2 linked regions of the Nothobranchius furzeri genome follow. The protein of the gene in region 2 purifies or fractionates together with the protein of the main gene of each other region. This does not show direct contact. Links are inferred from orthologs where the notes say so. Each region holds a gene or a part of one and is shown on either strand. Other genes may lie near its edges.

What was found. Proteins that work in one complex are often made in the same cells at the same time.
Region 1: the proteins of calpain-2 catalytic subunit (region 2) and afg2b purify together in Homo sapiens (co-immunoprecipitation; 3 studies listed by BioGRID and IntAct, with this or other methods). This does not show direct contact. The link is inferred for Nothobranchius furzeri from reciprocal best matches to the Homo sapiens genes CAPN2 and AFG2B.

Annotation. Positions count from the first base shown.
Region 1 is NC_091749.1:43,208,215-43,211,965, forward strand, and holds the start of afg2b (ATPase family gene 2 protein homolog B), read left to right. Parts: upstream 1-1,284; 5' UTR 1,285-1,420; coding exon 1,421-2,014; intron 2,015-2,077; coding exon 2,078-2,263; intron 2,264-2,610; coding exon 2,611-2,895; intron 2,896-2,974; coding exon 2,975-3,160; intron 3,161-3,255; coding exon 3,256-3,414; intron 3,415-3,488; coding exon 3,489-3,698; intron 3,699-3,751. UniProt on the Homo sapiens protein: ATP-dependent chaperone part of the 55LCC heterohexameric ATPase complex which is chromatin-associated and promotes replisome proteostasis to maintain replication fork progression and genome stability.
Region 2 is NC_091746.1:29,426,408-29,430,058, reverse strand, and holds part of calpain-2 catalytic subunit, read right to left. Parts: intron 687-3,651; coding exon 568-686; intron 373-567; coding exon 239-372; intron 159-238; coding exon 1-158. UniProt on the Homo sapiens protein: Calcium-regulated non-lysosomal thiol-protease which catalyzes limited proteolysis of substrates involved in cytoskeletal remodeling and signal transduction. Proteolytically cleaves MYOC at 'Arg-226'.

The sequences.
Region 1 (3,751 bases), on a different chromosome or scaffold from region 2:
TACATATATATATATATATATATATATATATATATATATATATATATATATATATATATATATATATATATATATATATATATATATATATTCAGCAAAACGGTAATTTTACATGAGAAATGCCTGAGACATTGCATTTGTATGCAAAAAAAACTTGCACTTAACTGTTGTTTGCTATATTAGACATGCATTTTTTGTGTTTTACTCACACCCAATAGTTTTATTCTGAGTGCTGAAAAAGGTTCGTTACAAATGTTCGTCGTTTTCACTGCAATAAATATGTCATTTTATTCAACTCGGATTTTTATTTTATTTTGTTTACTTTCAGGTTCAGTGAGCTAATACAGTATGACAAAATGAAGAAATGACTAAATGCACATAGACGAGGTTTTGCTGAAAAGAATGATACCAAACAAGGCATTAACAGTAAAATATGGTTTAATTTAAAGGTGAACACTAAAACTTGTCAAAACGGCTACCAGTAGTCACACCACCGACAGAGGGTTAAACACCAGAAACGGACTTGATTATTCTGCATTATCCTGTAACTTTGGGAGTTGTGAAGCATTTACCTAATGAGTTTATTGAAACGCATATGCTGTAGTTTTTTGTCATCTTGACCACGTTTGAACTTGTCCAGCTCTAAAACTCCAACATTTAAACACTTTAAACTGGACTAGATTATAATGTTAGGGCAAATGAATTTGTAACAACAGTTCTACACCAACTGCAGACAAATAACAGAATTAAAAAGAAGCCCGTGTGGGGCCAAATTGATTAAATCATAACCAAGAAGCTTTAAAACAATAACATATTTAAGTCAAGGTCAAAAGCAAACAAACTTTTATTTCGGGATCATATATGTAAGTCTTACTTGAGAGCAGTCGGTGCCTCCCCAGTCATGAACCTCACCGCACGTCACTGAATTCAAATGATTTTCTATTTCCTGTCTCTTTATTCAGCTCTAATTTTAAAACCAAAGTTTCTTCAGTAGAATCTCATTCACCACTGGTGATAATTTGGCACGCACGTGTAAAATGAGTGCTCCTCAGTCTTTTCATTCAAATAAAAGAGTTGTAATCTATTAACTTGTTTCACAAAATATAGTGTCCATAAATTCCCAAATTCACCTGACACGGTCAAAAACTGTCTCAGTCCATCACGCCTGAGGCACCTGAGGACTGGACAATAGAAATGTTTCTAAACCGATATAAACACTTGTCTACGTCAGTGGGCGTGACTTTCTATTTCACTCTACTGCGCAGCCGCAGACTCAAACCCACGTTTCCACTGCGCAGACTCAGTTCCTCAGTTTTTCATGCAGACTGAGCAGGAATGACGGCGGCTGTAAACAGGATAATCTACTGAAAACCACAAAGTCTTGTTCTAATCTTTACCCGCTTCATGTTGTTGGCGGACGATGCAGCGTGTGAAGCTTCTGCTGCCGGACCCCGCTGACCGGGGCTCTCAGAGGTGCCGGCTGGGTCCGGGCTTGATGTCGGCGCTAAGCCTGAGACTAGGCTCTCCTCTGCTGGTGTCTGTTCCCGGGGGGAGCTGCCTCTGTACCGCCTGGCCCCGTTCGGACCTGGCGGAGGGGTTCCTGCAGATGGACCTGAAGTGTATCGCTCCCACTTTGATCTCTCAGCCTCCCGTGCACCTGAGTCTGGAGCCACGCCATCTCACACCTGTGTCCTGCCCTAAACTGAGGGGAGTTAAGGTAACGGTGGTGGTGCAGAGCGCTGGCTTTAGGAAGCACACACCCGCTTGGGTTGTTCATGAGCTCGTGAAGGACATGCTGAAGGGTGTTTATGTTCACAAGCAGTATGTGGTAAACATGGAGGACTATGATACAGAGATCAGGTTTGTTGTTATAGACGGAATCAGACCGGACTCTGACAGTGCAGGTATGGTTACCTCAAAAACAGCTGTGGAGATATCCGGGATCCAGACTCTCAGGCATTACAAGAGCCAGCTACTGGACCAGCACACGCCCCCACTGGGAGGACTGGACGAGGTCAGCTGTTTGAGCATAACTTACTATTATAGTGATAAAAGCTGAAACCGTTTTCCTTTGTAGGTGAGTGCTTCTCTGAGAGAGATGCTGCAGCTGCCCCTGATGTACCCAAACACCCTCAGCTCCCTGGGGGTGTCCTGCCCCAGGGGCGTTCTGCTGATCGGGCCTCCTGGAGTCGGCAAAACCCTGTTGGTCCACAAGGTGGTTGGGGAGGTGGGAGCCAGCCTGGTGGTGGTCCGAGGGCCAGAGGTACTACTGTGTGTTTGCACTGATATGGATGAGTAGCAAAACAATAAAACACTGTCAGGAAGTCATATTTTACACACAGGAAATATATAAGTTTACTGAAATGGTCAAGAATTTAAATAAAGCTACATGACAGAAGAAAAGTCAAAGAGGCAAATACATTTTTTTCAGATGCCATTCTGTTGCGCAAACTATTAATGTTGACGGCTTATACAGACTTTTATACTATACTTTTATACTAGAGACAAAACAAACAGCAACGTTTAACCCAGCAGAAAGGTTATTTAGTGCAGATTGAAATGGCTGTTCTCATTTACATCTGATTTATTGGTGGTGAACTGTTCTTCCAGGTGGTAGGATCTCGACCGGGCGAGAGCGAGGAGACGCTGCGGGCTGTGTTTGAGCGTGCTCGATCAGCAGCAGAAGAGGGTCCCTGTGTGCTCTTCTTAGATGAGCTGGACTCGTTGTTTCCCAGGAGAACCGGCTCGTCTGCACCAGAGAACCGGCTGGTGGCTCAGCTGCTTACACTGATGGATGGGATGAATCGGTCTGACCGCTTCCTCATCGTAGGAGCCACTAATCGCCCTGACAGTTTGGACCCAGCGCTGCGGAGGCCTGGGAGATTTGACCGAGAGGTACTTTTTAAATGTGTTTATCAGAGTGAATTAGAAACAGAATAAAGCTTTGAGCTGTGAGTGTTTGTCTCTCCTCCAGGTCATTATTGGTGCTCCAACCGTGCAGCAGAGAAAGGCCATCCTGACCGTCCTGTGTGAGAGGATGCCTGTGTGTCCCAGGCTCAACATGACAGAACTTGCACAAATCACCACAGGGTACGTTGGGGCCGACCTGAGTGCTCTGTGCAGGGAGGCGGCCATGCACGCTTTAAGGCAAAAAGTGAAGGTAAACTGGCACTGAAGCAGAACAATGACATTTGAACTGTTTCTGTGAATTCTCTACATGCATCTTAAGCTTCGTTGTTGTTGTTATGTCTGCAGGGTTCAGGGAAGCAGGAGGTGGAGATGAAACACTTCCTGGAGGCTCTGAAGTCCGTGCATCCCTCCAGCTTGAGGAGCAGCCTTGGCCGGACGGAGCTGTCCTCCGTGTTGTGGGAGCACATAGGAGGCCTGGATCAGGTCAAAGTCAAACTAAGACAGGTAGCTAAATGGGGGGGGGGGGGGTGACTGAAACTATAACACTCAAAACCTCCTCTCCATATTGCCTTTTAAAGAGCATTGAGTGGCCCATGAGGTACCCCGAGGCGTTTGTGCGTCTAGGACTGAGTCGGCCCCATGGCGTTCTGCTTTATGGACCGCCAGGATGTGCAAAGACGACGCTGGTGAAAGCTGCCGCCTCCTTCTCCCACTGTGCCTTCCTGTCTGTCAGCGGGGCTGACCTGTACTCCTCTTATGTCGGAGACTCAGAAAAAGCTTTAGCTCTGGTACATAAACTTTTAAAATCAGCGACCTGCAGACATCAGACCTGCTTTTATCA
Region 2 (3,651 bases):
AGCCCAGCAGTGCTCCAGCCTCCAGTGCCTTCTTGATGACCTGAAACAAGTTTGATGGTGGTTGTCTCAGATCAAAGTTCTCAGCAATGCCTCCAGTGAAATCCTCAAATCCCTCAGTGGTGGAACCGCCGGACAGCGCCTCATAGCAGCCATTAACTCTGCAAACACATGGCACCATGTCACAGCCCAAACCTAGTTAGGAGTAAAGTTGTTGGAAGGTTCTGCACGACGTTCTCACTTAGCGTAGGCTTTCTCCAGCAGGGCGCTCCAGAACTCCCTCCCCTCTGCTGAGTGGACGAACAACAACTCTCCGTCTTTGACCGGCAGACGGTCATCGATTACCACGTCCACCCACTCCCCAAACTGCCAGAACTGCAGACGAACAGACAGAAACCTGAAACACCACACACACGTCCTACAGATAGAACCGTTAAATACTGCATCGATCAGGCACCCAATGCCAAAAAGGCCACATGATTGGTAACACCTAAATGATATCTGTTAGGGGTTCTTGATTAACTGACTGATGTCACATGTAGGAATGATGAGTGCTAGAACACCCGTTACCTGGAAGTGAAAGATTCCTGCGTAGTTCTGACCAAAGCTCTGGTCCTGGGGAACGACTCGGGCCATCACAAACTCGTTCAAGGTCAGAGAAGCGATGGCAGCCAGCAGCCAGCAGTCACCTGGAGAACATGAACCACTGTTACTCTGGGTTTCATCTTCCTCCTACCATCTGTTGGGTAATTTTATCAATCCAAGACAGTGGCGTGTCCAGATCTTTTAAAATGGGGTGGCCCAGGTGAGGCACAACTTTGTGCATGGGTGGCACCAATGGTTATGCTTTTTTTTTGCTTCACCCCCAAGCCTTTGTGGACAATGAAAAGCCTATTTAAAGGTAAATTAGTGTGGTGGCACCTGGGGTGGCCAATCAGATTCCAAGGGTGGCATGTGCTACCCCAGGCCACTCCCTGGACACGCCCCTGATCCAAGATTACCTCAGGGAAAGTTTAAAGCACAGGGGTTATAGTAATCAATCAATCAATCAACACCAATACCAATCATAAACAATCAATTTAGACTTTGCAAAGTGGAGAGGAAATGAATACACACCAAGCTCGGGTCTCAGTTCACTCTCATCAGGCTTCCGGCAGCATTTATTAAGCACACACACACACACACACATTTTGACATTCCTTAGACTCTCAGGCATAAAGCTGTAAAAGGGAGTCTAAACTTTCTCCAGGTGCACCCTAAGGCCTAGTCCACACGTAGCCGGGTTTGTTAAAAACGAATATCCGCCCCTCCAAAAACTTGCATCCACACCACCTCGTTTAAACAAAAACTCTGTCCACACGTACCCGGATAAATACGTTGTTAAGGACATGCCAGACCTGTAGGCGGCAGTACTTCCCCCGTTCTTAACCTCGTCCTTCGTCTGTGGTCTTCCGCAAGGAGCAGTAATTCCGCTTGCAAAAACAAACAAGCAGAAAGCGCTTGGACAATTGATAAAGCGAGCGCAGCTCTGAGGGCATCCATGATGTCGGCTAGTGTAAACACAGGTCGCACACGTGATGTCAGCAGTTTTTTGTCGCGGAAAGTGACGTTGCGGACCTTAAAACTCTGGTTTTGTCCGTCCACACACAGACACCCAAAACGGAGAAAACGCAGATCTTCACTTTGGCCGGAGTTTTTAAAAAACTCCGTTTTCGTGTGAAAAAGATCCGTTTTCGTGTGGATGACAGGCCAAAGCGTAGAAAAATATCTACGATTTGGCAGATCCCCGGCTACATGTGGACAGGGCCCTTGCTAGACTTTTCTCAAGGGAGTTTTACTGAAAGGTCGGTGCCGAGGCAAGGTCATCCTCCTCGTAAAATCCACTCCTCCCTGTAAGACCTACTGGAGCCTGGTATCCATCGACAGAATGAAAAGGATGAAGCTACGTTCAATAAAACACCAGATGTTTAACAGTCAAGACATTAACATTAGTTCAATAATAATAATAATAATAATAATAATATCAGTTTTTATCTAACACCATCTAATGCCCCTACATCAGTGATACCCAACTCCCTTCTGCGAGGGCCGGCATCCAGCATGTTTCACTGTTTTCCCGGCTTCAACACACCTGATTTCAATTAGCAGGTAATGAACAGGTTTCGGCAGAGCGTGATGGGCTGCTGAACAGGTGAATCAAGTGTGCTGGATTAGGGAAACAATTAAAACACGCTGGATACTGGGCCTCGGGGAAAAGAGTTGGGGATCACTATCCTATAGTCCTGGGCTGTGGTTCTCAATCCTGGTCCTGGAGGGCTGGTATTCAGCACATTTTAGTTGTTTCTCTGCTCCAACACACTTTATTCAGTGAATGACCTGTTCAGCACCTGTTCAGCAGCTCATCGGGCTCTGCTGGTTGAAATCCAGTGTGTTGATGCAGGGCTACAACTAGAACACGCTGAATACATGCCCTCCAGGGCCAGGAGTGAGGAGCACTGCTCTGTTGCCCCGACAGTCTAGTGATCCCTATATTCTAATGCCCCTATAGTCTAGTTCAGGGATAGGCAACCCTGGTCCTAGAGAGCTGCATGTGTTCCAGCCACGCATGAACTTGCAGCTTCTAATTGGCTGAACACACCTGATCCAGGTAACAACAGCAGGAACAACAAAGATAGTTGGAAAGCAAGCAGGACCAGGGTTGTCTACCGCTGGTCTAGTTCATGGCTATTTAATTCTGGACCTGAGGGTTGGCTACCTGCATGTTTTCTATCTTACCTTTACCAACACACCTGGTTAGTAAACACACCTGGTTAATAAACACACCTGGTTAATAAACACACCTGGTTAGTAAACACACCTGGTTAATAAACACACCTGGTTAGTAAACACACCTGGTTAATAAACACACCTGGTTAGTAAACACACCTGGTTAATAAACACACCTGGTTAGTAAACACACCTGGTTAATAAACACACCTGGTTAGTAAACACACCTGGTTAATAAACACACCTGGTTAGTAAACACACCTGGTTAGTAAACACACCTGGTTAATAAAGCTTCTTTACAAACAAAATTGGTTCTGGAAACTGTGAAAGTTGCATTCTGTGATTTAAATAAAAAACACGACTCTTGCGTTACGTAAGCACATTTTAGAGATTGGGAAACTAGAGCTGGTAAGATGGTGACATGGTGAATTTGAGCTACTTTTAGCCACATTAACAGACTTGTAGATCCTCACACGCACGTGTCCACCAGTCAGCACGTTTCTAGGAAAAGTGTGATTCAAAAAGCAGGAACTGCATGTTTTAAAGGTCTGAACATTACTTTGCATAAGTACTTTTGTTGCTTAGCTTACGTAGAGTTTTAGTAAACATTCTCTGAAGAAGTGACTCTTAACTCAGGTGTGTTGGAGCAGGACAACAGCTGACACATGCAGGTAGAGGCCCTCCATGGCCAGGCTTTAGTAGATCTGATCTACAGGGCCTTACAGAGGTGGAATCTGGACCACACGAGGAACCGTGTCTGAACTGGTCCTGAAAACCACAACCATGCAGAGATGCTGTGTTGCAGGAGGAGGTCTCACTCTGCAGCCAAAAATCCTCCAACAACTGAAAACAAACTTTAGCACAAAGTTCCACAGAGAGGGAGTCAGA